Linked DNA regions of Struthio camelus. The protein of the gene in region 3 interacts with the protein of the main gene of each other region in a pairwise test. Links are inferred from orthologs where the notes say so. Each region holds a gene or a part of one and is shown on either strand. Other genes may lie near its edges.

Region 1 (6,997 bases), on a different chromosome or scaffold from region 3:
CGAACAAAGTACTTTACTTTATTCAATGATAAAATTTTAATTCTATTAAGAAGTACTACAACTAAGGCCCCTAAAATGTATTATTATACTGGCTTGGCTTTCCTGTGGCTTTCTGTGTGTCTGTTGGAGAAAGATAGGTTAGCCTTGGTGAGAGAAAGAGATAATGAGGGAAAGTCACCACTCCCTAGCCTTCCTCAGAGACTCAGCTCTCATAGTACCGAGGGCTTTCAGTGGAGCTGTCAGGACCTGTCAGTCCCTGCTATAGTTTATTATCGCAAGAAGACCCAGAGACAGCAGCTTTCACGCAAAAAACCTCAGGCACCCGCTTAGTGAGCCTGGCATGCTGACACGGACAGAGCAAACATACATTTCTGAACTGATTGGCATTAATGGAAATAGACATGGGAAAAGTTGTAAAACCTAAAGTGGACGTGCTTTATTCTGAATATAGAAAGAAGGAAAGACAGAGCTAGTCCAGGCTTAGATGTATATGACTTGCAAACTTTGCATTTCACAGGTTCCTATTGCTTGAGAGGCTCATTTGTTTTCAGAATAATAACTTTGAGAGCAGTAAATACGTTCTCAGATCATGGCAGCTCTGCCAATATAATCACTTTAAAGACAATTTGTTGTAAGGAATAAGATTTATTTCCTTCCAACTTGTTTCCTAAGCTTGTTTTCCCTTTTCTCCCTCTTTATTTCTCTTGTAAGCCAAAGAGAAAGTCAAAGTTGATAGATAATTTAGACTGAAACAAACTGAAGGCTTCATCCTTCTACCATTTGGCAGTTTACAAGGAGGGAGAGCATAGGTACTTACCACCACCATTTTCCCATCAACCAGTCTTCTCCTTATCGTGGTCTCTTTGCCGTTCCATTTTTGCACTTGCAGCAATGACCCTTTCTCGAGGGTTACAACACTCTGCAAAGGCCAAGAGACGAGTTTCAAAATGTGATCCAAGCTTCGTAGATTAGAGTAACAATTCACTTTTTGGATAGCAAGATCCACATTTTCTACTAAAGACACACTTAGTAACATTGATGTCAGCACCATACTGTTTCCTCTTTCGGTACTTTCTTGAATAGCTTGGAAATTTCATAGCGGAAAAACTCCTCCTGGCTCAATTCTAGGACGTCAGGATCCCTTAGAGATCGTTTAGAGATTGTTAGCCACCTTACCTTGACTTTCCGGTCATCTGCTGTCATTTCATCAAACTGCTGGCCCAGTTTGAAGGAGATCTCTGTGTTTTTGAAGGTGCTTTCAGTTCTGATAGTTACTATGTCCCCTTTCATACTGATGATCACATCAGGCTTTGCTAAGCCACCTAGTTTCCTGGCAGCTAAGCCCACTCCTATAAATTAGAAAAAAAAAATAGCATTACATCCTAGGAAGCAAGAAACTCATTATAATTTCATAAAACTTCTGTGAAAAAATAATGAAAAGTTTCTTCTTGAATACTATAATGTCTGATTCAGATGAGACACTGCTTCCTCATATGTGGAAGCTGCATACAGTATTGCTTTCAGAGGTTCAGGCATCCCCAGCTGATGTATCTCCAGCAAGAAATAAAGATATACACGTGTATACAGCTGTGTACATTTAGCTAAGCAGAAACTTAGACGGTTACTAACCTGTATTGTTTCTGTGCAGTGATAGAATGGGTAGAAAAATGCATTGAGAAGGACTATAACTCATATATCTTGCAAAAATCCTTTTATTTTTGCTATTCTTGACAAATTTGGGAATCTGAGCTTTTGCTGACCAGCTGCAAGGAAGAAACTAGTGACTGAACTCCCAGTATGCTGGTGCTTATTCTTCAAAGCACAAAATATACTGGTGCCCAAGCAATTCCTAGGTTACTACTACCACTGCTTAAAGATCCTAATGTCTGAATCTCAGTGAAAAGTTCAGGCAATAAATAAAAAGAAATTGAAATATAAGAGTGCAGAGGTGCAGAAAACTTCAGTAAAAATCCTATGTCAAGAGTCTTTTATATTACCTTGTGCTATTCTTCTCAATTCATGGTCAACAAGTTACGAGGTCTGAGGAAAATTAGAATAAAGGCCACTGATGATGTAGCCCCATTTTATAAAAGCAGAACAGGGATAGCTATAGTTAATGCCTTTGTTAATTCTGTGGTATGCTCAGATGAAAAGATGGACACAAAAGGATATAAAGTTATCTGTAAAGTATAACACTAGCTGCAGTAATTACTCAATACTGAAACAATTCTGTTCAGATCTTCAGAAAAATGTCTGTAGCTAGATTTTCATCCCACATTTACTCTGCTTAATTAATTAACTGAAGTTCTTTTGTTACTCAGTTTAACCTTTCAAATAAAGAGAATTAATGTTTCAGTGAATCATTTATATAGCAAAAGAAATGCTGGAACTGACTGTCTTTGCACTTGCTATATAGAGATGAAGTCAGCATTAAACTAAAAAACAATGCTCAATTTATTACATTCCTGGCATTCTTCAGTAACAGATAGATTCATTCATAGAGTTTAGACCTCTGAAACCCAAGTGTCATGAGACATCAGCTCCATTATATATTGTAAATTATCACAAGTCATGAGTTTAATAGTGCAATCAAGAGAAACCAAAGAAGTCCTGCATCTCCGTAGATCCTACTCATTACAGGAAAATAGATCATTCAGATCAGTTAGACAGAAGTAAATTTATTGTAATAATCTAGTAACTTTTCCATTTTAGATGCTAACAGTAATACATGAGATCATACTAGAAGGTAATTAAAGTGCTTATGGCCAAGAAGAAGACATTACCTGTGAGCAAAGCATAAGATGAAGAAAAGACATTGCTAAAGAAAACTTATTAAAAAAAAGAGAATAACATTTCTCACCCAATTCTTTCATATAATCATCAAAATTTTCACTGGAGACGAGCTTCCAGGTTCCCACAAATCGGTTACACATTGTATTGGCTTTACAAGGCAGCGGTCCTCCAGAGAAACGCAGTGGCAACAGCAGCTCTTGGAGGGAGGCAGAGGGACTGTGCCACTGACTCAGATCTCAGTCGCCTCCTTTTAAAGATGCCCCATTCTTATAACGGGCAGGAGGGGCCAATAGGAGAGGCAATGCTAGGGCCAGACAATGTGTACCTTGTCCAAGGCCAGTTGTGTTAGTACCAGGGCTCGGGGTGACGCCTGCCAGGGCTTCCTCCACTGAATAAATCAAGGCAGTGAGGAGTGTATGGGGATGGGGACGTGAGGCAGAGCAGGCGAGTGACATGGTGGTGGGGTCTGAGCCACATGCCACCAGGCACGCTACCACTGTACCCCTGTGAAGCCCAGCTCTGGCTTTCCTCCCAGTACTGTAACCCCTGCTATCATCATTATCGCTGCTGTCACCTGTATGCTAGTCAGTTAAATCAAAGCTGCAGGGATGTGGGGAAGAGATGGTGAGAAGCTCCTATGCATAAAGCTTTTTTTTTTTTTTCTTTCATGGCCCATCCTGGAAAGGGGGTGTGTATTCTGCCCTTTAAAGACAAAATTAAATTATTCTGTCTTGTTGTCTGCTTTTGCATCAGAGTAATGATGTCAAACTGTGGGTTCTGCCCTGCATGTACCCCAGCAGCACCATGAAGAGAAGAGACAGCCAGACTTTGCTGCCTTCCTTCTTCCACAATCAGAAATATATTCAGAAGATCAGTGCGTAGGTTCTGATCAGGTTTTGTGCTTGGCAGGTGGAGTCATCAAAGTGCTTAGTTCAAAGTCACTTAGTGAGAGGTGAGCGGGTTTATTGGATTGGGAGGAGGGAATATACTCCTCTCTCTCTGCCTTTCTGCACCAGGGTAAGTGGTCTGTCAAAGAGTTAGGGGCAGATCTAAGGAAGTGCAGGCATATAAGGCCTTGCATTCAAATGTATCCTATTTTTCCCAGATTTGTTCTGGTACCCTGCTGTCATGAAGGGCCATGGTCTCTTCTGTGCCATGTGAAATAGAGAGGGCCACTCATGACAGGCCTTCCTCTACCTCCATATGAGAAGATGCAAGAACCTGCTGCAAAAATCTCTTCTTCCAGTGGCATTGTGAATTAGAATGTGTAAGTATGCCTCCGTTTCTACATATATAACCTAAACCTCCAAAAACAATGCACTTTTAGAATTATTGTATTGTGGTTAGTAAGAAATGGAAGCAAAGAACGAATCCATAGACCATATGTATATTTGAAGGGCAGGAATGCAAAGCATTGTAATTCAAGACACCTCAAAGTATCTGAAACTACTTAGTGTAAGACAACAACAACTAATTCTGTCCTTCCCTTTCCTAAACCACCTTCCTAGTAGGAGAAAGCTATTATTTGCTACATGAAAGGAATAGATGGCTTATTTCCTACTTGTATGAACAACAGCTGCATGTTCTTTTTTGCATCATTAAACTTTCTAGGTTGTGACCATGTACAGGAACTTCTCAGATCTCCATTGTAAGGGTGGCGGTTAGCTAGGAGGATAAGTCGTGGGACAGAATCTCTCATGTTTAGGATGGAAAGAGTCAGAGGGAGCTGATGCTGGGCCTAGGAGACTGAGGTTTGGGTCCTCTCTCCAGAGCTGCCATATGTGGCGGGGGGGAACATGCTTAAACAGAAAAATGGTGCAATCTGAGCAGGGGAAAGGTTATAATCTCTGGATTGTACTGTGGTGGTAGGGATATGTCTTACATTACAAATTTTGTTTGTACATATAAAACATTTTTTCCCGTTAGTTGGTCAGAACACCAACAAGGTAAGTTCAGTAGAATTTCACATTTCCTCTCTGGTCTAACTACAGTGCAGTGTAAGAAGAGAAGGTCCAGAATAAGTGATAAAGAAAACTAATAAAAGGGCAACTCCTTCTCCCCACAGTAGGAAGCAGAGGCTCTGTCTGTCAAATGTAGTAAATGTCAATCTGTGAAGGTGTGGTCCACTACCTACTTTAGAAACGACTTTTCCAAAGTACAGATGCATCATATTTCATGTGAAAGAATAGCCAGCTCTTGTATCTAGTCTCTGGAAATGAGGGGGATCCTCCTAAATTAACCTTGCCATTATTTCTCAAGGAATAACATGATAGTATTCTACCATTGCCAGGCATTCTTTGTTCTTCCATTTAATTGTCTTATCCACAGAAAGACACTTTAACAAGGCAAGACTGGTGTCTGTGGAAAATAAAGTGGAACATTGTAAAATCAGGTCCAAAGAAACTGAAGAAGATCAAATTAGTCAGAATAGAACAGCTATACTGCAGTACCAGTAACCTTAAGAACAAAAGTGACAGAGAATTATTGATGCAGACAAAAACCCAGTCTTAAGCAGTCTCAAACAATGTTGACATTGCTACCATTTATCTCTTTGTCATTAAGAAAAATCAGCAGTTCCGTTTAAAGGGTCTACAGTCTAGAAGGAACAAGAACATGGAATTCTATCTTCAGTAGAAACAGTATATGTGGAAACCAATCTTTTCTTCAAGTGTAAAGAAACAAAAAAGATTGTGAGTATATGTAAATGATAAGAAGTAGCCTCGATTCACTTTTTCTGGTTAGAAGAAAAGAGGATGTAAAATTAATGTAGCTGGAGACTGTGAAGTAGCACTAGAGACAGGGATAAAAGCTGATAAAAATAGAGATAAAAACATGCAGGGAATATTTAAAGATATATAAAAGGTAAATTTACTGTCAATTTCTTGAAAGGAAAGAGAATATAGACAAATATCATCCAAAAAAATCTACATTAAATTCCTCGGACAGTAATAAAGAAAACAGAAATGCAAGTAGAGAACAGAGGCTGAACCCCTTTTCACTTAGGGCACCGTGGAAGTTCCCGCACTGTTGCTCTTGCCACCGAAGGCTCAGCTCTGAACACGGGGCCAGGAGTCTATCTCCTCCCGGTAGTTATACTAGAGAGTGCAACTAGCCTTTTGTCACTTTGGATTGTGAATCCCTTGAGACAAGGACAAGATTGCTCAGGCCAATGGAAACGTAGCAGTTCGGGGCCGACCATGGAGCTGGGCTTGACAATCCAGATGGCAGCACACAGGCTTGGTCACTGAAGTGATCACACAGAGTCTCATGGTTACACATATAGCTCAGGGATTTGTAAACTCCAGATGGATAGGCTGTCCTGCAATACTGGGCGAATTCCCAAAGTGCTAGCTGAATCTCACCAGATGAATCCAGGTCCACTGCCAGTGAGCTCCAGCTGCCTAGCTTCCTCCTCTGGAGGCAGCACACGCTATCTTACCTACCTGCTACATAGCACCACTATACCATAAAATCAAACACAAGAGAAGATGTACCTGACAAGCTAAACCAAGAGCACACTTAAAAAATACTCCGAGTTCCTTTCAGTGGAAACCAAGAGTTAAAGGAAACACAGAAAATGACAGAAAGTTTGAAGTGCAGAATAAACCTTGCTTTATCCTTCTCTTGAGCTGTTACAAATCTGGGGGTGTGAATCCCCCTTCCCCCTTGTCATTGAAGAAACATGTAAGGGATTAGTGAGTGAATGCAGTAACTAGATAAAAATCTCGTAGCACTGAGAGGTGTCTGCTGCAATAGGCGTGTAGCCCATAGGGTTTGCAGCAGTCTGGTGAGAACCTCCGTTTTTCAAAGAGGAGCGCTGGAGAATGCTGTTTCTGATTTTTAGAGTAGTTCAGCACATCGCAACAGAAGGAGAGATCTTTTCTGCTCTGCAGGTGAGGACAACTCCCTGACCTATGCATGTAGAAATGCATATTGTGATCTCCATCCAGGTCTGAGTGTATAAACCCCTGACTGTTCTTTGCCAGAGAAGATTTATCTCTATTTATTCAAAAAATCACTAGGCTGATACCTTTCTTACAGAAAGTTTTAGACACGTCCATATTCTGAGAAAGTATCACTCATACTTCCTTACGGTGCTGGCCCAATCAAAGTTTATAAACAGAATGTCACTTTATTGACGTCTGTTAACAACTGAAGCTTTAAATGGCTTTTCTTTCATTAAAAAAAATTGATCCTTGATTCA
Region 2 (7,732 bases), about 1.8 Mb from region 3:
GTACAATTCCAGGAACAGCATCATAAACAGAAGCTCACTAAACATTGTTTTGCTGAATAAACATGAAAAACAGGATTAAAATACCAAGTCACAGCAAAGAAAACCCACCAGAGCTAAATAGTTCGTTCTGTTTACGTACATGGCTCAAAACAGCCAAGATGTACATGTCTATAGTCAGCTCACTTGTGTCACTGGAAGAGGGCTGGAGGAAAAGGAAAAATGGAAAACTAAATTCACAGCAATTATTTCTAGGAGAAGAAAAACTTTGTTAGGCACCAGTCCAGGGACTGGAAATAAATTTGACATGAATAGACACAGCCCACCTTTCAAAGGCGTATTTGCTCGTTGAATAACTACATCTTCTGCAATTATCTTACCTCTACATCCTGCTTGTTAGCTAACACCAGAATAGGAACCCCTTCCAGAGCTTCGCTAGTGACCATCTTCTCTATAAAGCACAAAAATAAAAAACGAGAGAGGTTTAGCTAATTCTAGAAGACCAAGTTGTGCAAATGCTTGACACAAATTATCTGAACATAGGGAGGAAGCAAGAGGCACTTCCTTGTGCTAGTTTGATTTGATCCAAACTTTCAGGACTGCATTCATCACAGTATCTTTTTTCAGATCAAGTTCAAACTTTTATTTTGATCAACAAGCACTTTACTAAGAATTAACTAAATACAGAATAAGAAATGAAAGTTCTGAAAGAATTAACATAAGCAGAAAAAGAGCCTCAAGGTCTTTATAGGCAATGAAACTGACGATTATCTTACGGACAAGACAGACCATACTCTTAAATAGCTCACTGATTTCACTGCTTTCACCTCAGAAACGCAGCCACGTATCATGCAAAGGTTCAAAAGCGCTACAGACATGCCATCAACAGAACACAGCTTATACTTCAAGTACACAGGAAGAGACACGATTGTAATGAAAGAACTGTGACACAATACATCAGGAAACCACAGTACTGATAACACAGCATACTCACCAAACGCTCTTTTAGATTCCGAGAGCCTCTCCTCATCAGTGGAGTCAATAACATAGATCACTCCATGAGACTCGGCATAATACTGGAATGGTAACAGATATTAGTGTACTTAACGGCTAAGACTATCTCCTCCTCATACCCTTTTTTTTATCCGTATGGAAGAGAGAACCAGTTGGAGCTAGCTGTTTCCATAATATTTGTCTGGAGAGAAGAATGGTGGCATGCAAAATGCATTGCCTGTCCTATTTGCAGGTCTGTTGAATAAAATAGGTGAAGAAGTTTATCTGCGTACTCCTTTTCTAACCCAAGTGATTGCAGGCAGAATTTGATGTTTTTTAAGCCTGATAAGACATACTACTCAACTGTGCAGTTGAAGTGATTGATAACAGGATAGCAGGAATGCATGTCTTGATCAAACAATGAAGTCAAGGGCACAGGTAGCATGCTTGGTTGGCCTGCGAGCATATTGCTTTAATATTCTTTGCCGGACATCTGGATGCTGCATACTGTGCTCAGGGTTTCTAATAACGCTGCAGTTAACGTACCTACAAAACACCATGCAGCTGGGCAGACTGTACCCTCTGCTCGACAAGAACAGATAATACAGAGGGAGACAAGTGTTGATATTGGTATATACTTTGCTTCTGTGCGGTACTGTAAAAGCCTTGGAAGTGCTGAGCCCAGAAACACATCTCAGCTCTTACCTTCCTGCTTTCATCAATGTTCTCCTTCCCTTGCCCTGATTTGCTGTACAAAACAGCCCAGAGAACTTGAAATCATATTTCATTTTAGTTAGAACTAGACTGTAGCTTTTATTTGAGCTAGCCAAGATCTCTTTTAAAGTCCCTCTGTAACTTTGGGTAAGGAAGTTACCACTGATATGACCTTATTACATACAAACGATAAAACTGGCACAGTCCTCCCACAGAGGCTGACAATTAGTTTCTGTAAACAATAATGCAGATGTTAAGCATCATCTTTGCAAATCTTGCACGGATAAAATTGAATCTCTGGAAAAGTATTAATGCTAAATACCTGGGTTACCAGTAAGCCTGTATGAGTACTAAATGATCATATTTCTCCAATTGTGAAAGAGGTATCAGAACATTTATAAAAGAAAAATTACTTCCCCAACCTTGTCCCAAAGAGACTGTAGCTCCTCCTGCCCTCCAAGATCCCAGAACATCAGTCGAGTTTTGCCAACATCAATAGTACCAACTAGAGGGAAAGAAAAATTCAATCCAATGAAAACTGACTGCGTGCTCTAAAGGATCACGCCTACACAATGCCCCTAAGTAGGGATGGAACAGTCTTCTACAGGAGCAAATCACATATAGTACTACTTATAACAAGAGAACAATACCTTAGAAAATAGTGGCCATAAGATTGGGAAGAGTCACATCAGCATAAACAGGATGAGAATCAGCCCGTGAACTCCAAAGAAACTTAGTTTAACTTCTAAGCACAGCACTGAAAGGTGACACACAACTCTTAAAACTTCAGGGTTTTTTCTTCAACAGCTAAGCAAGCCAATTTATTCTCTCAGAAGAAGTATATAGGGAGCGAGGAGATAAGATCCCTATTTCCAGGAACCACTTTGCCCTTGTCAATTCTTCTTAAACATTTCAAGGAAGAAATAACTGTTCTCTAACTTTACAGGAAAGGTGGAAAATTTTCCAGGTGGATTTACTTACTGTTTAAGCCTACAGTGGTTGTGATTTTGGACAAACTCATCCCTTTGTAGTTTTTGTTAAATCGAGTTTTAGTTTGTTCAAGGAAGGTCTGAAAAGGAATAAGAAAGAGTAACTACTCTCAAACATTGTACTGGCATGTATCCAGTAATCTTAACAAAAACCTGCCTTTTCCTTACGGCAGAATCTTGTCCCAGTAGCTACTGCCCTCTCTAACCTTGGAACAAACCACTCCTCTTGTTCCCTATTTCAGCAAAGAAAGAAGAGATCCCAGGTGATTACGGGATTATCAAAGTCTCAGCGTAAGCTTTCAGGGATATAGCTAAGTTTAAATACAGGGAGAGGAGTTGACTCTTGGGGGCAATATCCCTAAAATATCCTGTCACGAGTTAGACTGACCTGCCTCTTGGAAGTTTTGCCTTTGGAGAATAGGAATGTTTACAATTGCACGTGCCCTCCACGTAATTGGTAATTAACAGCACTTACTGTTTTACCAGCATTGTCCAAACCAAGGATCAAGACGCAGTACTCATCCCTCTGGAACATGTATTTATAGAGTCCAGATAACAGAGTATACATCCTGCTCCTGCAACAAATGCCAAGAAATTATTAATAAATGGGTCACTCCCAGAAGTCTTTCATTCCACAATGCAAGTTTTTCCAACATCAGAGAAGTAAGTGGCATTATTCTTTTATCAGTAACTCTCATATTTAGATAACTCCAGGACAAATCATAGATCCAAGTCCACGGGAGAAAAAAAAAAAAAATCAAGTTTTCAAATGCATATAAGTAGGGGGTCATCTTATGTAGAGCTTATCCCTGTTTATGCACATGGCCAAATTTTGATAGTGCATATCATCCAGTGCAAACCCACTACTCATTTGAAAATGCTCCTGTCTGTTCCAAGGCTTAAAGGGGATCTGAATGTTCTTGAAAGTCTTTCAGAGTACATACATGGTCCACAGAATGAAATCAATTGCATACAAATACACAGAATGGGTATTTGGAGCAAGAACACGCTCTATACGACTGTATCATTGGCTCTTTAATGGTCAAACTGACAGAGTATCTTACTTTTAAAGGCTTGTAAAAAAGACTAGCTATATTAACGTATGCCTTCTCCAGCAACAGCCTTCTGTTCCACGATTCACAATTCAAGTATTTTATCATCTTGCAATACCATGAAGAGAAGACCGGTGACTAGCCAAAAGCACAAGACCGAAAATAAGACTAAGTGACAGCCCCTGGCCATGCACGTACTCTTTTGTTGGATTTGCACAAACAAGGCAGAGAAGATTTGCTAAGATGCAGGAAGTCTCGGTACCAAGCACCACAGCCGGCTCCCTTAGCATTACAACCACCCTTCAGTTTAAACAGACCGGGGGAACCTCAAGGCAACAACTCTGAGAAGCCGCTGCCGTGCAGCGAGCGTGCAGATAAATAATCGTTTTGAAATGCAATAACGTTGCCTGAGGGGTAGAAAAAAAGAAAAAAAAAAAAAAAGACTTCCAGCCTCAGCACGGCAGGTTTCCCAGGCTGGACCGCAGCCAGGGCCAGGCCGGGAGGCCCGACGCGGCCGGCGAGCACGGACCCTTCCCCTCCGGCTGCGCAAGAGGAGCCGGAACCGGCCCCGGCCTCGGCCCCCGCGGCCCTTACGGCCGCCACGGGCCCGGCGCGGCCTCGGGCCAGGACAGGCCTCCCTCCACCGGGGCCCGGCCCGAGCCCCGTCGCAGCCGGGCCTAGCAGCGCCTCGCAGAGCTGCCATCAGACACGGCAGGGTCCCCGCTCCTCCCCCCCACCCCGAGCGCTGAGCACGGAGCCCGAGACCCGCGGCCCCTCACCGGACACCGGAGACACCTCCCGGCCCCCCGCGCCTCAGCGCTCCCCTTCGGCACCGGCCGCCGGCTTCCCCCCCCCCCCCCTTCCGCGCGGCACCCTGGGAAATGTAGTTCTCGCCCCGCGGTCAGAGCGGCGCGACACCCCTCAGGAGGACTGCGACTCCCAGAATGCCTAGCGCCCTCACGGCCACAGCCTGCGCCGGCGCGGTAGGGGAAGTCTCCTAGCCGAAACGGCGTAACGCGTCGGCTAGAGGGGCCGGAAGTGGGGTGGCGTGGAGGACCGGAAGTCGGCGGGGTGTCATGGCGGTGCCCCGGGAGGAAGGGGAGAGCTGGGGGGTGAGTGAGGCGGGCGGGCGGGCGGCCGGCCGGGGCCGGCGGCGGGCGGCGGGCGGCGGTGGCGGCGCTGATGGCCGTGGCTCTGGGCCAGCGCTGAGCGCCCGGGCCGGGCTGACCCGGGCCAGGCGCCCTTGCCGCAGGGCGGCGGCCGGCGGTAACGCGCCGTTCAATGTCCCTCGCTGCAGGCGCCTCGTCGGGCCTCCTCAGGGGGAAGCAGCAGGACGGCGGGCTAGGCGGTGGCGGCTGCGGACGAAGACCTGCTGATCGCTTTACGTGACCTGCTTGAATGTGTTCTGCGTTCCCAGAAAGGACACGGTTAGAGACGCCTTCGTTGTGCTGATAATGGACGAGGAGAGTCTGGAGGCAGCCATTCACACCTACAGCGCCCAGCTGCAGCAAGTAGAGCTGGCCTTAGGGGCCGGCCTCGACCCGTCCCAGCAAACGGACTTGGTTCAGTTGCAGGAAGACTTAAAGCAGCTGATAGAGCTGACTGAATCTAGCCTGGTGTCTATTAAAAAAAGCAAACTTCTTGCAACCTTAGATACAAACGCATCCTCCTCCTCTCCTGCAGGTCCCCTAGAGCAGGAGGCCAACCTAGACAGCTCTGCCCAAGATGAGGAATATGCTGCTTTTAAGGAAGCCATTGGTGAGCTTGGAACTGAGGACAAACCTTCAGCTGCTGATCATGAGATATCATCAAAGAGAGATGAAGAAACTGATGAGAAAAGTGAATCTAAGTACAGTGAAGAGGAGGATGAGTCTGACAGAGAGGAAGAGGAGGAGGAATTGAGTGGGATGAAGGTTAAAGCCCCGTACTACAGTGCTTGGGGGACCCTGGAGTACCATAATGCCATGATTGTGGGCACAGAATACTTAGAAGATGGCAGTGCAGGAGTCAGAGTTCTGTATCTCTATCCAACTCACAAGTCTTTGAAGCCGTGTCCATTCTTCTTGGATGACAAGTGCAGATTTAAAGAGAACTGTCGGTAAAAAAGGGATGGGAGGGAGTTTGTGGCCTTCTTGTTGCTAAAGGCCTTGGCATGCAAGGGAAGAGACTGCTCTAAAAGTGCTGTGTTTGGCTTTTGTACTAGATGGAATTTTGCCAAATATATGTAATTTTTTCTGTTTTTAAAATATGACGTGGTAAATTGGCATCAAACAGTTTGACTGCTTTCTTCAGGTAACGCAGAGGTGAAATGGAAATTCCCATGACAAAATGCAGATGTTTTACCTACTCCATTGCGTAGCTAAACTAATAATTGATTAAGATGTTAAAAAAAGAAAAGTTAGTCTGTAGATAGCACATACATACAGGTTACAGAGAGAAATTGTGGTGTCTCCATCTTAGGAGATTTTCAAAACTTAACTAGATAAGGCCCTGAGCAACCTGATCTGTCAATGAGGCCAGTCCTGCTTCAAGCACTTCCAGTGTGGACTAGAGACCTACGTTTCTGTGTGATCCTCTTTATCGAAGGATCTGTGAAATTTTTTACTGGGTACATCACTAGCAAAAAAAGCTTAATGCTCTGGGATAGAATGCGTTGTCAGATGGCACAAATAATATCTTTAAGATGAAAACTGAAGACTGTCTTGTGTAGTCGAAATAGCGTGTGATAAGACTTTGATAATTATCAGCGAAGATTCAGTAGTGCTGATAACTTGTCACATTTTCTTTCGTGAGGGAAGGAATTTTTATTTAAACCCTTTTCAAGTGGTGTGGATATAGTTCTTCTTTCACCGTTCCTGGCAGGTTTTCTCACGGGCAAGTGGTGTCTGTGGAAGAGCTTCAGCCGTTTCAGGAGCCCGATCTGAGCACTCTGGAGGTGGGCTCGGCCTGCCTGGCAAAACACAGTGATGGAATATGGTATACTGCAAAAATAACTGGTGAGTCTTGTTTTAGTGTGTTTTGCCAGGCTGCTGCATGGAGGATGAACACGGACACTTCAGTGAAATAAAAAAGTTGATTGTTTTGGTTGATGATAGAAAAAAGCTGACCAGGTTTTTACATGCCTAAACTGAACGTTTTGAAATAGCTGAGGAAAATATTCTGAGTTTTGTAGGGCTTGGGATGGGAAGAGGCTAGAAAACAGGAGAACATTAGACAAGAAGGCAACCCAGGAGCAGGAATGTGAGGTTAAAAAAAACTTCGTAGTCATTAGCTGAACTGGTAGGGGAGAGACAGGTATTGCAGGAACTTGCATGAATACTGGAATTGCAATAATCTGTTCTTGTTTAAAGAAAAGCCAGGGGAGCTGGCCTTGCCTGTCAGTTGCTGATACAGGCTCCTCTGTGTCCTGGACAGGGTAGGGGTTTATTCCCGCTTTCCTGCTTTCTTTGACTGTTGCTAGGTCTGAAGGAACAAATCTGCCTTCTCTTTAATTCAATTTCTCAGCAGCCCATCTTTCATCACTTTTAGAAATAGACCTCTAAGTATCAACACAGAAACTGGAAATAGCTCTTCATTGCAGCATATAATTCTCCCTTCTAGACCGAAATCTCAAGCAAAAAAGAATTCAGAGGTTTTTTTTTTTAAACACATGTTCCCTGGGCCTTCCTCCTCTCCCACTGAAGGTAACTGTTCTGTAGAAAGCCCTCTTACCCGTTGCGTATTGCACACTTGAACTCCTGTCCATTGCTTTTCCTTCTGTAGATATCGACAGTGGCTACTACACTGTGAAGTTTGATTCCCTGCTGCTAAAGGAAGCCGTTGTAGAAGGAGATGGTATCATTCCTCCATTACGAAGTGAAGATGGCGCCTCCTCTGTTGAATCTGATGAAGACAGTGTTGATGATTCTGGCTACGCTAAAGGTAGAGAGTGGGGAGGGCCTAAGCAAAAACGGCCTGTGATCTAGGCTACCTCCTCTCTGGGACCTA
Region 3 (7,289 bases):
TACTGTCAGGGTCTTGAGGGGATTCTACCCTCCTAGGACTTTAGATGGCTCAGTTAAGGAGTTTATCTGGCTAAGTCCAAGGTCAGTTCTTTTACTATTAAGAGCTCTTATGAAGAAAGTTAGTGAGGCCCAGTCCCTCCTTCCCCTAGAAGATACTTTCAAGCTGAGGTTCTCTGGCTGGGCCCTGTCTGTGCTACATCATAGCTGTGTGGTGGCTATGTCTGCACCCAGTCTCATATCCCCTCGATTCCGACCCCGATCCTGACTTGACTTCCTGACTTGACCTTGGACCCAATTCACCACTGACCCAACTGGGCAATCATTGGTCTGTGTCTAACCTTGTTTACTGTTTCAGGATCTGATCCTGACCATGACTTGCCAGCTTGACTCTCCAGCTTGACCTCAAACGTACCTTGTCGCTATAGACTTGTTTGAGGATCTGAACTCTCAACTGAACGCGGCCACCTTCACCACGCCTGCTCTGCTCAATCAGATACTGTGAGACTGGGCCCTTGCTGGTGAGGGCATTGCCTCTGCCTGCCTTATAACCATGGTCGGCTCCTGGCTCCCCCCTTCCCTTTGGGAGCAGCCTGCACTTGCTGCCCCCTTGCAAGTATACTTGTAATGTTTTCTCTCTTCTTTCCGGAAAAGCACTACCTCTCCAATGGAGTATTGAGAATTGTTTCTGTGAGCTGGATCATTCCTTCCACTACCTCAGTAGTAGCATCTCGTACCATCTTCCGAAGAGTAGTACCTGGTTGAGATTGAGAAAAGAGCAACGATGTTGCAACAAAAAGACAGCAACGACAGAAAGCAACTGCCAAAGATGAACACACAGGCAGCTCCATTCATGCAGACACATGGTATAAATAAAGTTACAGGTATTTTGAAGGAAGCGATGTTTGTTCCTGAGTTTCAAAAGGACTTTGGGCAAAATCTCAACGTTTTATAAATACGAACACTCAATCAACTATACCTCTTCCTACATTATCACTCTTCCACAGCTGGAGATCCGCAGAAGTAGACAGTGGAGTGGTTCACTCACAACCATGTTGCAAGTCTATGGAATAGCTGACAATGGGACTCTCTTTGCTCATGAAAACTTGATTTCCTGTAGATGCCAGGTCTCCTACCGGGCTCTGAGATACTGGGCTTCATCATACAGTGATGAAAGAACTGGCACTGCCCTGCTGTTACCATCTCACCTTGGCCTTTAGGGAGCGAGTAGTACACTGTGGCAACTGCAAGAATCGCATTTTGGACGTCTTCACTCAGCTTCCGACAATCCTAAAAACGGATAGGCAAAAAGATTAACCAGGAAAAGTGCATTGCTGCGTTCCACTTAGAAAGTCTCACAAGCAACCATTTAAATCCAGATTACTTTGAAAAAAGACTGTAGGGAAGCACAGCAATGGCCAGCTGGCTCAAGAAACAAATACAGCACAATGGTAAGTTACGGCATTTAAGCGTTTCTGAAGTCTACAAGCACAGAACAGAGTAATTTGCTAGAGTTGCAGACTCATTGTATGCATCATGAATTTCCTCACAGTTTAGTAACAGAAAACACCCGCTAGTCTGGTGGTTACGCATCAGTGAGGAAGAAGCGGCTTAGATCACTGTTCTGAACTGGTGGTCTTTTTTCCCCTCTTTCAAGCACAGGTGTGTTAAAACTTCTCTCAATTAACAGCAAAAACACTTCCATTCTTAGTTAGACCTAAGATCCACATTGCCCAATATACTGTCTCCACCAGCAAGCAGTTGTACGTGCCAAATAATGTTAAAGAAAGGAATATAAGAATACTTCTATTTGGTATACCCCTCCCAAATTCCAGAAATTAGCTCTTTAGACAATTTTTGAACTGGATTAATACATTCTGCAACCTATAGTCCACGCAAATGTGCCCTGTTTACATTAAATCCAACGACTCTATTTTAGTCTAGCCAGTCAGGAGATATCTGAAACTTATCATATGCACTGCAATTTCACACTCTGTGGGGGCTTTCACACACCTCTGCAGAAGGCAGTGGAGGCCTTGAGAATGCAAGACTCAGCTTCGTAGCTTCCTGTGATGTTGCTTTGAATGTCTGACCTAAGAATGATCCAATGGGAAAAAGACATTTATCAGGATCTTAAGTAAAAGATGAAAAAACAGAGCAGCTAGATGAGCAACGTCCTCTCTGATGCTGCTTTGCCCTAACATCTACTCTCTGATTACTGTCTCTCACTTCTAAATATGACAAGAATGTAAGCTACAGCAGAGGAAAAAAAATCCACATTGCAGCTGTGTCACACTAAACTGTCCATTCTACTTTTTTACTTAGCTGGTTCTGAAATCCATTATCACATTTTGTCACCTAGCCCATGCTACCTTTACCAGGACACGCCAGGAAGCTTTAACAGAGACCAAAGCCTTTAAAAAGCTCGGTCATGACGATCACTCCATACTGCCCACTGCTTTGTCAATGACACCAGGAAATCGAGGACGAGGGCAGGAGCCTTGACTGGAGACTTTCCTGGTGACCTCTCTTGCAACTCATAGCCGTGCCATGTAACAGCACCACGATGTCCCAGCTCTGCCACTGACACCACCCACAAAAACTGCTAAACGTGTCTGCCCAGTGCCTGCCCCTGCCCAGCCCAGCTCTGTCCCCCATGGTGGCCTGGCCCTGCTCCAGCCCCGGCCCCGCTCTGCTCCGCGCAGCAGCCCGACCCAGCGCCGCCCTAGCCCGGCCCGCTCCGTACCGAGCGCGTCCCAGAAGCGCGGCGGCTCGAACGGCTCGCGGCCCTCGCCCGGTTCGCCCTCTGCAAAGGCAGAAAGAGACCTCAGCCAGGCCAGAGGCGGCGCGGCCCCGGCCCCGGCCCCGGCCCCGGCCCCCACCTCGGACCCGCGCCAGCACCGCGCGCAGCGCGCCCCGCAGGTCCCGCAGCGGCTCCCGCGCCTGCCGGGGCCCCGGGCCCGCCGGCTCCATGGCGGCGGAGCGGCCAGCGACGCTCCCTCACGGCCGTCACATCCGCTTCCGGGTAGCGACGCGGGAAGGGCGGTGCCGGCGGGGGCCGCGCCCCGCGCTCGGCCCGTGGCCCGCGCTGACAGACGAGACACAAGGGAGCACGGATACACTTTATTAACGACAAGGGCAGCAGCGAGCCCGCGCGGAGGCCTCTACAGCAGCCTGCGGAGCTCCTCGAAGTTGAGCAGGTTGTTAGCTGTGTCGGACCAGGCAGCGTGCGTGGCCCCATCCATCTCGGGGGCCAGGCTGTTGGTGCTGTCCAGAGTGTGGTTTGTGCCACCAATATCCGCACGGCATTCGGGGCACTTGCTCCTCTCCATCGCACCCCCGCACTCCCCAATGACATAGATGTGCCCATTTTTGCACTTGAACCAGTGACCGCGGGGACAGCCAATAGCACTGACAATCTGCACCCGCTCTGCTTCAGAGATCCCCAGCCCTGACACAGGCAGGGCACTGCAGAGCTTCTCTAATCTAGCCTTCACTGCAGCCTCATCCTTCTCTGTGAATTTCTTTGTCCCTTCCAGGATCTCACGTACACTGGCAATCTCTTCTGCAAGGGCTGGGGTGATCCTCCCACTTGCACCTTTGCACCTTGCCAAGAGGCTCATCAAGTAGGTCAGTCTCTGGATCTCAGCCTGCAGGTCAGAGAGCTCCTGCCCTGTAAAACTGAGGCGTGGCTTATCCAGCCAGTCCTGGACTTCATCCAGACGCTTCCTCAGCCCTTTCCTCTCACTTGCATCAATTTTGCTCATCGAATTGGTCAGATCAGCTAGACGGTCATAGAAGTTAAGCTGGTTCTCAATTAGTCCGATACTCTTTGTGGACAGAACAGAGGCTCTCAGTTTATCTTCCAGCATAAGGTACTTAAGGGGTAGATTCCTCTGCAGAACAGCATTCTCTGCTAGTGCAGCCTGCAGTCTTTGTCTGCTAGATTCAATTTCCTGTACTGGGCCTTGGATTTTCTCTTTCACTCTCTCTATCTCATCCAGACGCCTTTGCACAATGGTGCCATATCTCAAATTCTTTCTGATAGGTGTCTGACAGACAGGGCACACCTTCAGCTTGATAACATCATCATCTTCATCCATATAGTGGTCAAGGCCTTGGGACTCAAAAACATGGCCACAGTCTTCAAGCTGTACAAACCGAGCATCTGGATCCTCCTCAAAGCCAAAAAAGATCTGCGTGACTTCTTCATGGTCACAGACAAGGCACTTCTGTGGGCAGGGCTCTCCACACAATCCAATACAAGGGTGTCCACAGTGCAGTAGTTTAGTACACGGTACATTGCAACGAGGCCTATTGCATGGCTCAGAGCAAAGATTGGTACACTGATAGTGCTGACATCGCCACTCACATGGCTCTGCACATGGAAAACAGCGCTCTCCACATTTCTTTTTACATCTGCTGTGAATGCAGTGGTTCTGACAGTCCAGCTGACATGGAGGGCATTCGGTAGTACAAGGCTGCTGACACTTGTGGGAGCAGACTAAGAAGCGCTTGCATGGGCTGTTACACGGCTTATGAAATCTTCCTTCAAAGCAGGAATGACAGGAACCCGAGCATACATGACCACACTCCAGCGTGACAGAACACTTAGTTTTACATTCCACAGGCATCCCCTGTTTCATCTCCTCAGTGATCCAGCACTTCACTTGCTGGATGTGGCCACATTTCAGTGCAACTGTAACCAGCTCAGGACACCTTGTAGTGCATTCCTGCCCACAGAATTTGTTGCACCTGTGCCCACAGTTCAACTTTTTCTGACAAGGTTCTTGGCAAAAAAACTCAGTGTCTGGAGTAGAGCACGGCACCATCTGTCGGTGGCCACACTTGGAAATAATTTTCTCAACTTTCACCATGCAGTGTCCACAGGGCTCATAACACAACTGCGGACAGCGATGCCCGTTTGTACAAAGCACCTTTTGACAAGGCTTCAGGCACTGATACTCTTTGTGCTGTGTGTCATACGGGTGACATGCCCTTGTGCAAACATGTCCACAACTCAACCTAAATTCACAGGGACGACTACAACCTCCTTCTGGGACTTTGCTGAAGTCTGCTGCAGTAGATACCAGTGTCTTGGTTTCAGGGTGGTTTTGGCAGCAAAGCATCAAGGAGCGGCCAATGTGGCCTTTCTCCCGGAGGGTGTGAATGATCTTGCTCCAGAGAGGAACCTTGCCAAGCATTCTCATATTTCCAATACAATACAACCCTTTCTTAGCTCTGGATAATGCTACACATATCCGATTAGAGATCTGCAAGAACCCTGATCTCTCCTCTTTGTTGCTCCGCACAAGCGACAGCAGGATAATATCATTCTCTTGCCCCTGGTATTTATCCACTACATGAACCTTCACACCTGCAAAGGTCTTGGCCGGCATGAGCTTACGCAGACAGAAAAGCTGCCCAGTATAGGTAGTAAGAATGGTGATCTGAGAAGGTAGATAATCCTGACACAAGAAATACTTGCACAATTCCACTACAAACTGGGCCTCATGTGGGTTCTGGTGGCTTTTCCCTTCCTGGATCTCTTGCTCAGGAAAGTCATGCTCCACAAAGAAGAGGTTAGATGAGACCCCCTGAAACAAAAGAAAAGAATCTCAGAAGTAGAATTCTACCTTCTGTCTCTACAGCCTCTTCCCATATCTCTGATTATCCCTTACTAAGATTCTTTAAGTATGCAGTAACCACATCCTGTAGTCCTCTCCTAAAATAATTGCCTCTTAGATTTCCATAGTATATTCATCAGAGGAGACTTTGAGCTGATTAGTGACATTTCCAGTAGTCACTCAATAGTCATCAACTGCAGGGGTTTAGTGAGTTATCTGCTCACCTGTCCAAAACTTCCATTTGCCTTGGGTTAATGGGGACCTTCATTTTTTTGCCTATTAACTGGAATTCTTCCACCCACAAAGAATTCTTGGGCTGTTATACCAAAACACAGAGACTGCTTTTTTCAGGAAAGAACACTTTTCGTGGATCACACACACATCTCTGGTTTTCCAAGGTGACCATAGCTGCAGTAACTGCTGTATACTTTAATCTAGTTGTCACCTCTGTTGGTTACTGTACTAGATAAGAATCTAAAATGATAAAATTATCATATCTCAGTTTTTTGTTTTTTTTTTTTTAAAAAAAGGTCAGATGGGATCATAACATTCTCCAGAATAGCTTACCTTATAGGAGACCACAAAATTTTATCCTGTTTCTCCTGACCTAAGTAGCTATTTTTAAATAAGGCATCTTCTACAAAATACTTCATCTGGATTTGAAGATACAAAGAAGGGACATGCAACTTTATCCTAGAGACAGCTTATTCTAGTAAGTAATCATCCTCACTATTCATTTTCTCCTGCCTGGCTTCAGCATTTTACAGTGGTTTTTGGTACACCTATCTCATTCACTTAAAGAGCTTTCATTAACGAGTACTGTCTTTTCACAAAGAGATCTAAGTAGACTAAGTTACTGTAATCCTCTCTGTAACCACCTCTAATTCTTTCTCCCAGGGTATTCAGTTGCTTGGGTTCCAAGGATTCAAGACCTAGCTCGGACACAGCATTGCTGTCACCTTGACTCAGAATTCTGAGGAAATTGTTAAGTTGTGACAGAGGGCTGTGCAAAAGTCTGCAGAACAGGGCTATGCAAGATAGGGCAGGTAAAAGTTACATAGGTACGATTGTTACTAGTTCAAAGATAAAAAGATAAGCACTAACACAGAAAGGTATAAAATCATAACTGGTGTGGGGCAGGGAAATAAAAAAAAAAAATCAGAAAGGAGGGAGTTAGTGGAAAATGGAAGCTCAGTAATATTGAGGAAGCAGCAGAGGCTGACCTTTCCTCTTCTGATTGAGGCCTGCCTGACTTGCAAAGACATTTCAGGCATCTTATGGTGAGGCAAGCATACCAATGCTCAGCTTAATAAATCATTAAATTCTAGCTGTTTGGTTGCACACGTTAGCTAACAACGATTAGTTTATACTTTTAAACTGCATAGATCCTGCTTGCAGATTTTGTGTACACGTAAAGGTGCCAAAATAAAGAACCCAAGTAATCAAGTCACCTATCTTATGAGGGAGCTTCACAAATTATGCTCTAAGTCTCTCGTTTAAGATTTCTTCCTAGCTTTCAATCACATACAACTCTTTTGGTCCATCTTCCTTTTTGTCTGTTCTTTTACAGTCTTCAATACTGGATCCATTTACAATGCCTACAGTTGCTAATGCCAGACAAAGTTACATGTTATTTGCCTAATTCTGTATACCTTGTTTCCTTGA
Region 4 (6,981 bases), on a different chromosome or scaffold from region 3:
GCAGTTAAGATGTAGAGCATTAGTTCCTGAGGTCCTTTCTGCACAGTTTGGTTTGGCCACTGAGTAATTCCAACCCAAGGCAAGGCTGCAGAGATACCAGACGCTGTTTCCTCACTAGCATTCTTTGCTTTTGACAATTGATTCAGCACCAGGCTGACCCTCTTTAAGATGTCTTATTATACTCATTTTTCTAATGAGTATAATACCCTCTCCACCTGACCCAAGTAGCAATGCAACAGGCAGAGATATGTTAATGCAACTACAGCATGTTTACCTTTAAGCAGGGAAGCAACTTCGAGACATCTCACTGAAGAGTTTCTTGTTCTCGAAAGCACCTGGTGAAAGGCACTGACCATCAGGAGAGCTGGCTGCAGGATCCCTTGTGATCCTGTTTGATATTTCCTATGGAAAAGTAAAAGATGTGTTACTTCAAGGGAATGTTTAAGAGCCTATCAGTCAAAAAGCTTCTTATAGCAACTATTTACACCTATCTCTGAATTTCACATAAACATAATGGAGTGGAACAGTTTATTGGACAAAAGTTTGAAATGCCTCATTCAAGGTTTCTCTGTTAGTGAGAGAATTACCCGTCACCTCAAGCAGTATTTCTGCCACACTGTCAACAACGTGCAACATAGTTTTCAGAAGTAAATCTTTTTACAGGGAGAACGTTAAGCAATTTAATTAGCACTTTATGCAGGCCAGTTAATTTCCTCTACCTACCCTTAAGTAGTAGCAATAACCTCAGATGAAGAAAAACTGAATATATATATATATATATATAAAAAATGAATGAGCATTATAACCAAGAATCGTGTTCAGGTGTCAACCTCATGGCTCCAATTTGGGCAAAACATTATGCTTTGAAACCCTTCTTCAGGCAGAGGCTGATCTAGAGCTAAAATCTTCAGGTTTCATTACGAAATAAGAACAGGTGTCTGGAAGAGATGACCCTCCAGCTCTTAATCTAGTTTTTTTTTATTCCCAATCTCTAACCTTCTGCTTTTAAGAGTGCCAGAAAAAAAAAGAACTAACAAATCAGCTTATCCCTTCAAGAAAACAGTACTTTTTAGAAGTTATTTGCTCTCTGTAGTGAGGAGAAAACCCAACAATATATACAAAAGTCATTCGTTTTTAGCCTTATTTTCCATACAACGAAGCATATACAGCCATATAACACACAGATGGCAAACATGCATGCGTGCGTGTTTACATAGTTGACCCTTTCCCTCTCACAGGTTTTGGCCAGTTGTAACCAGCTTGGGAAGAGGCGTCGCAACAGCCAAAATACCAAGTTCCTACAATTTTGTGAAAGCAGACAGGGAAGAACTTATTAATGGCACCACTAAGTTAAAGGCTAACCAGGCCACCTTTTTCTAGGCGTCAAAGGACTTGCACAAAACAAAGGGACGGCAGCAAGGCTGGCTCAGCTCCTAGAGCCGCTCTTTCCATCAGCCATACTTACTTTCATGACTAACCTCATCAGGAACAAGGTAACCTTCCACGGAGTCAGAAGGAACTGCCTGTTCGTTTTCACACTGACAGGGCTAGGGGGAAAAAAAAACACAGTCTTAATCCCAGAGTCCCTTTCAGATAGCCCTGCTTCCTTAAGGCCAGGTGAAAGCTTTAACCCTAAATGGAAAGCGATACACCTTCCGTAGGCCTGGTGCCTCCAACACATAATTAACTCCCCACTGCCTTCCTTCAGTAGAAATATTTGCTCTCTCTCATTTGTCTGGCTGGCTTATTTTAAACTTAAACCTCTTGGAGGCAAGGACTGTGTGTTTTTTCTGGGTAGGTACAGCCCCTAGCACAATAAGCACCAAACTTTTTGGGTGCTAAAGCAACAATTATACATAAAACTTGCAGCATGATTGTTCTGTAATCGCCCTTGCAAACGTTAAAAAATATACGAGCTGGTTTCCAAGAATACAGCATCGACCAAAAAGTAGGGAATTAATGGAAGAGGACATTTTTATTTTGCTTCTGCTCCAGTTGATATGTCGCTGAAGGTCAAATGGAGGAGGTGATGGACACAAACATGCCATTGGTGGCCATAGAGAAGTTAAGGCCGCCTGCATCCCCAGGGACAACACTTTGGCACTGCGTGGTTTTGAGTACATTAATAACCCTCTCCTCGTAAGAGAAAGTTAGAGGAATAACTGCCTCACAACGAAGCAGCGATCTCTAGGCCTATGTGGTTTGCCAAAAGCAGACCGATTAGCTATTGACCTGTAAATGGCTTTTTCCAGATGGCAGCTGGACCACAGTTTTCATTCCAACTTTCCTGCTCATCCAAGTATCCTGTTGCTAAGAGGCAGACACCCCACCGGTCCCAAATGGGAATTCAGGTCGCACCAGCCTACACCTGAGCGTGCTTGTCTTCCTGCTCAAAAACTGCTGGCCAGCTTTTGCAGTTTCTTTTAAGATGGGAACTCAAGTACTGATCATCCTTATTAAAGACTTACCCTAAACCAAGCCTACAAATCTAGTTGATTGCCATTCCTCCCAGCAGTTCAGGGTCGCTATTATCACGCTCCTGAACTATTCAACACTGGGCCAGCCTAAGGTCTAGGGGTGATGTTAGTGAGACAGCTTTTTGGCTCTGTTCAGACTTGCTGTACTTATTCAACCTAATAAACATTTCTGTGCGGCATTTGCCACCTTGCCAAGAATGCAAGTACATGGATAAACTCCTGAGTCTGCATGATATAAGAACCCAGGCCATCAGGGTGAAACACCACCTGAGTCACACACACATGGGGACTCATAACTTTCCCTACCACGTGGGTGACACGTGTGTGTGTGTGCAAAAACATGAGCAGAAAGGCAACGTTTTCACCCCTTCGTCCTTTCTGCAGGAGAACTGGAGCATAACCGCATTTTTCCTTCCTTTCCCTAACTGCTGATTTTCTTTCGCGCGTCAGGTATTTCAGATCAAATAAAGCTTCGATTCCTCTGCGTCTCCCTAGACTTTTTAAGTCAAGGTGCTGCGCTGGGACAGGGATATGGGTGTGAGGCGAGGTTATCATCATGGAAAAAGCTCTGTGCGTGGGCAGCCACGTCGGAGGCAGAAATTTGTGCCCGTTTTGTTAACTGAGAGGAAAACTTCCAAGGCCAGTTTTTAAGGTGACTGGCAACAGAAAGGCGGAAAGCGGCCTGACCGGGCTGCTTCGCTTCCTTAGGAAATATTCCCAAACCCTCCGGTTTCCCCGAAAGAGGGTGAATTTAAACGGTGCTCTGCTGGGGTTTGTCGGGACGAGCTCTTAGCATGGCCGCTGGGAGGATGAGAAGGCCGAACCCTCAGCACACCAGGGCGGGTTTCCTCATTCAAAAGCTTAACCAGCCACTGGAGAGAAAGAAAAAAAAACCACCACCACAATGAGGAAAGCGCTGCTGACCAAAACGCTCGCTTCGCCCCACCTCCGCTCACCCAGCTTTTTTTTTAGCCACCCAAATTTGCTCTTTCCAGCCCAGGCAGGGCCTGTCTCCCCGCAGCAGAAGCCGAGGAGCCGCGGGGAGGGGAGGCAGCCGCCTCCCGAGCCCCTCGGGCCTCCACACAGGCCGCGGCCCCAGCGGCGCCGCCCACCCCCGACCGCCTCGCCGCGGGGGCCACTGGGATCGGTAGTCCTGGCCCCGCCCGGCCTGCCCGCGCCCGCCGCGCCGCAGGACTCTCTCTCCCAGAAGCCCTCGCGCCCACGCCCTCCCCTCCTCCTCCTCCCGCCGCGCCCCCGCCCGATGCCTGCCGGGCCGTGTAGTCCGCGGGTGCCGCGTCGCCAGGGGCGGGCGGCGGCGAGGGAACTACGTCTCCCAGGAGGCAGCGCGGCGCGGCCACCTCACCCCCCCTTCCCCGCCCCCCCTCCCCGCCGTGCTCTTGCGCCCGGCCCTCCCCTCCCTTCGCCCGGTGTTCCCGCTGCCGAGCTCGGTGTCCCAGGGCGGCCCCGCGGCGGCGGGGGCGCGCGCGAGGCCCGGCATGGCGCCGCGGCGGCGGGGGCGCGCGTCGCGCGGGGGCCGTTGGCCGTAGGGGCGGCGGCGGCGGCGGCGGCGGGCTGCCCGCCCGGGTAGGTGCGGCGGGGCCTGGGGGCTGCGGGGGGCCGAGCGGGGCCGCTGGGGGGAGGCCGCGTCGCGGGGCCGTGCCGGGGGGCGTCCTGAGGGGGCTGGGGAGGGCTGGGGGAGCCCCGGTGGGAGCACTGGGGAGGGCTGGGGGAGCCATGGTGGGAGCCCTGGGGTGGGGTGTCCTGAGGGGGCTGGGGGGGGCTGGGGGAGCCCCGGTGGGAGCCCTGGGGTGGGGTGTCCTGAGGGGGCTGGGGGGGGGGCCGGGGGCGCCCCGGTGGGAGCCCTGGGGTGGGGTGTCCTGAGGGGGCTGGGGGAGGGGCTGGGAGAGCCATGGTGGGAGCACTGGGGAGGGCCAGGGGTGCCATGGTGGGAGCCCTGGGGTGGGGTGTCCTGAGGGGGCTGGGGGGGGCCCGGGGGAGCCCCGGTGGGAGCCCTGGGGTGGGGTGTCCTGAGGGGGCTGGGGGGGGCCGGGGGAGCCCCGGTGGGAGCCCTGGGGTGGGGTGTCCTGAGGGGGCTGGGGGGGGCCGGGTGAGCCCCGGTGGGAGCCCTGGGGTGGGGTGTCCTGAGGGGGCTGGGGGGGGGGCCGGGGGCGCCACCGTGGGAGCCCTGGGGTGGGGTGTCCTGAGGGGGCTGGGGGGGGGGCCGGGGGCGCCACCGTGGGAGCCCTGGGGTGGGGTGTCCTGAGGGGGCTGGGGGAGCCATGGTGGGAGCCCTGGGGTGGGGTGTCCTGGGGGGGCTGGGGGAGCCCCGGTGGGTGTCCTGGGGGGGCCGGGGGAGCCCCGGTGGGAGCCCTGGGGTGGGGTGTCCTGAGGGGGCTGGGGAGGGCTGGAGGTGCCTTACTGGGAGCACTGGGGAGGGCTGGGAGGGGTGCCCGGGGTGGGGTGGCATGCCCTGGGAGTCTGTGCCCTGAAGGGACTGTGCTGGGGCTGTGTTGGGGTGGGCCAGGGCGTCGTGCGGGGCCGTGCAGCGTTGGGGTGGTTTGGTTGCTGGCACAGCGGGGCGCCCTATGGGACGGGTTGCTGAGGAGCACCGAGCTTGTTGGGTCTGGGGGTGCTTTGGGGTGGCGTGGGGTTGGGGTACCCTGACGAGGGGGAGGAGGTGTGCTGGGGAGCTTAGCTTGGCAAATGGATGCACTGGGGAAAACGGTACCCTAAGTGAAGCACGCGTTGAGAGGATTACAGGGGAGCCCTAGGATGGAAGGGGTATGTGAGGATAATCCGGTGGAGCGTCCTGGGGATATATCCTGGGAGCTGTGGTGACGGCAGAGTGCCGTAGCGGCAAATATACCGGGGAGCGTGGTGAGGTAATGGCAGGGAAGAGGGTGCTTGAAGCTGTGTCGGTGCCTATCGTTAAAATGAGGTTCCTGATCTGTCTGGAAGGCACGTCTGGAGAAAAATTGCGAGGTGGGGTTTGCTGATGCAAGGAGGGGCTGGCACACTTTGAACGGGTTGATGGGGTCCGAGGCAAACTGCAGACTGAGCAGAAAAAGTTGAAGGTAGTTTTTTGGGGGAATGAGCCAGGCTCTGGGAACCTTGAGTTAGAGTTGCTGTGTTCTTGCTTGTCACAGCTGACCAGTGGATGAGAAAGCACTGCCTTCCCGCTGTGCTACAGCAACCCAACCTCCCTGATTTCGCAGACGCGGATGTCTGACCATCCTGTAGGCATGGCTCACTTGAGGGAATTTGCCAGCCAGGTAAGTGAGGATTAAAGATTTGTTTTAAACTCTTGCATCAAGAGCAGACATAACGCTTCCAGCAGGTAACTTTTTGCCACTGTTTCTCTCTTGCACACGTCTCATTACTCCTGTTAGCTGATTGATTTCTGTCTTATTCCCTGGTGGTGTTTGGCTGACAATGTTAGGTTGCCCCGCTGTATAGTGAGGGGATTCTTCTTCCAGTGCAGTGCTCCTCTCTGAGGGTAACTCTGCTCTTAGGGAGAGAGAGATCTTTGTCTCTGAGTGTTTTTTTTAGGAGGGCTAGGCTAGAAATGGGATCAGAAAAGCTGCGTTTACAGACTGCGCCAGATGTAGTGTTTTGGCAGCGTTCACAAGAGTAACCTGGGAAGAATAGTGCCTGTAACCCTATGCATGAAGGGTAGCAAAATTTGGTACTGAACACGTCTCTCTTCTGAGAGAGATGTCAGCCCCAGGGGATGTGGTTAACTCCTGTTGTTGTGATGCCATTTTCTTAAGAGGACATGGAAGGATGATGTCGTGACCTGGGACTTAGAACTGAACCACGTTAATAGTATCAGCTTGAATCTTGTTTCTTCTGAAATTGGTTGTGGAGTATGTTTGACTATTGGCAGACGTCAATACTGAATATAGACCCTTTTAAACCATGTTTTAGGAGAATTCTGGCATTTTTCTATTCTGTTCCTAGATGTAGAATTAAACGCTAAAAGCTTTAGTGGTTTGAGATAATGCTTTCTCCAAGCCTTTTCAGCATAACATTGATTTGCAATGCATCTTAGTTTGCATGCTGTCTTTCACATAAACTGTTTCCCCAAACAGTTGTGGAATTAAATGCAAATATAGAACCTGAATGAGTCATAATACAGGGAGAGAAATGAAAGGAATAGGAGAGGATGCTGTTTAGTTAGGACTGGGAAAATTTGAAGTGGCTGAGTTCAGTAGCTACAGAGAAGGTTCCTCTCAAGCTTGTAAATAAGTAGGTAGGAGAGTCGAGCTGAAAGCAGCTGATAAAACCAAGGAAGATAATTGTGAACAGAATAGTAGGGAATTAATGAAACCATTTGTGGATGGATTTATGTAAATACCGACAAGCTGTCAGTTTAGGTGCGATGAGCTTTTTATATACAGCATTCACTGATAAGCTTATCAGAGTTCCAGGGCTCTAAACTCTTAATTTATTATATAAATATCATGCATTCTCAGATTCTGTCATACCATGACTCTCTGTCTGG

Evidence for each region.
Region 1: the proteins of CCNDBP1 (region 3) and myelin P2 protein interact in binary tests that used the Homo sapiens proteins (3 or more experiments, as listed by UniProt). The two-hybrid records come from large-scale screens. The link is inferred for Struthio camelus from reciprocal best matches to the Homo sapiens genes CCNDBP1 and PMP2.
Region 2: the proteins of CCNDBP1 (region 3) and ZGPAT interact in binary tests that used the Homo sapiens proteins (3 or more experiments, as listed by UniProt). The two-hybrid records come from large-scale screens. The link is inferred for Struthio camelus from reciprocal best matches to the Homo sapiens genes CCNDBP1 and ZGPAT.
Region 4: the proteins of CCNDBP1 (region 3) and STK25 interact in binary tests that used the Homo sapiens proteins (3 or more experiments, as listed by UniProt). The two-hybrid records come from large-scale screens. The link is inferred for Struthio camelus from reciprocal best matches to the Homo sapiens genes CCNDBP1 and STK25.

What each region holds. Positions count from the first base shown.
Region 1 is NC_090943.1:125,897,732-125,904,728, reverse strand, and holds the start of myelin P2 protein, read right to left. Parts: upstream 3,013-6,997; 5' UTR 2,934-3,012; coding exon 2,861-2,933; intron 1,350-2,860; coding exon 1,177-1,349; intron 920-1,176; coding exon 818-919; intron 1-817.
Region 2 is NC_090959.1:17,914,780-17,922,511, reverse strand, and holds the start of ZGPAT (zinc finger CCCH-type with G patch domain-containing protein), read left to right. Parts: upstream 1-4,722; 5' UTR 4,723-4,857; intron 4,858-5,042; 5' UTR 5,043-5,199; coding exon 5,200-5,843; intron 5,844-6,607; coding exon 6,608-6,741; intron 6,742-7,507; coding exon 7,508-7,666; intron 7,667-7,732. Other genes in the region: ARFRP1 (ADP-ribosylation factor-related protein 1), read right to left, coding at 378-448, 992-1,073, 2,127-2,209, 2,686-2,773, 3,169-3,261. UniProt on the Homo sapiens protein: Transcription repressor that specifically binds the 5'-GGAG[GA]A[GA]A-3' consensus sequence. Represses transcription by recruiting the chromatin multiprotein complex NuRD to target promoters.
Region 3 is NC_090959.1:19,674,956-19,682,244, reverse strand, and holds the start of CCNDBP1 (cyclin-D1-binding protein 1), read right to left. Parts: upstream 3,023-7,289; 5' UTR 2,971-3,022; coding exon 2,880-2,970; intron 2,804-2,879; coding exon 2,744-2,803; intron 2,091-2,743; coding exon 2,011-2,090; intron 1,288-2,010; coding exon 1,206-1,287; intron 755-1,205; coding exon 658-754; intron 1-657. Other genes in the region: ZNFX1 (NFX1-type zinc finger-containing protein 1), read right to left, coding at 3,162-5,594. UniProt on the Homo sapiens protein: May negatively regulate cell cycle progression. May act at least in part via inhibition of the cyclin-D1/CDK4 complex, thereby preventing phosphorylation of RB1 and blocking E2F-dependent transcription.
Region 4 is NC_090950.1:3,608,261-3,615,241, forward strand, and holds the start of STK25 (serine/threonine-protein kinase 25), read left to right. Parts: upstream 1-3,978; 5' UTR 3,979-4,061; exon of another isoform or gene 4,062-4,065; intron 4,066-5,623; 5' UTR 5,624-5,698; coding exon 5,699-5,749; intron 5,750-6,981. UniProt on the Homo sapiens protein: Oxidant stress-activated serine/threonine kinase that may play a role in the response to environmental stress.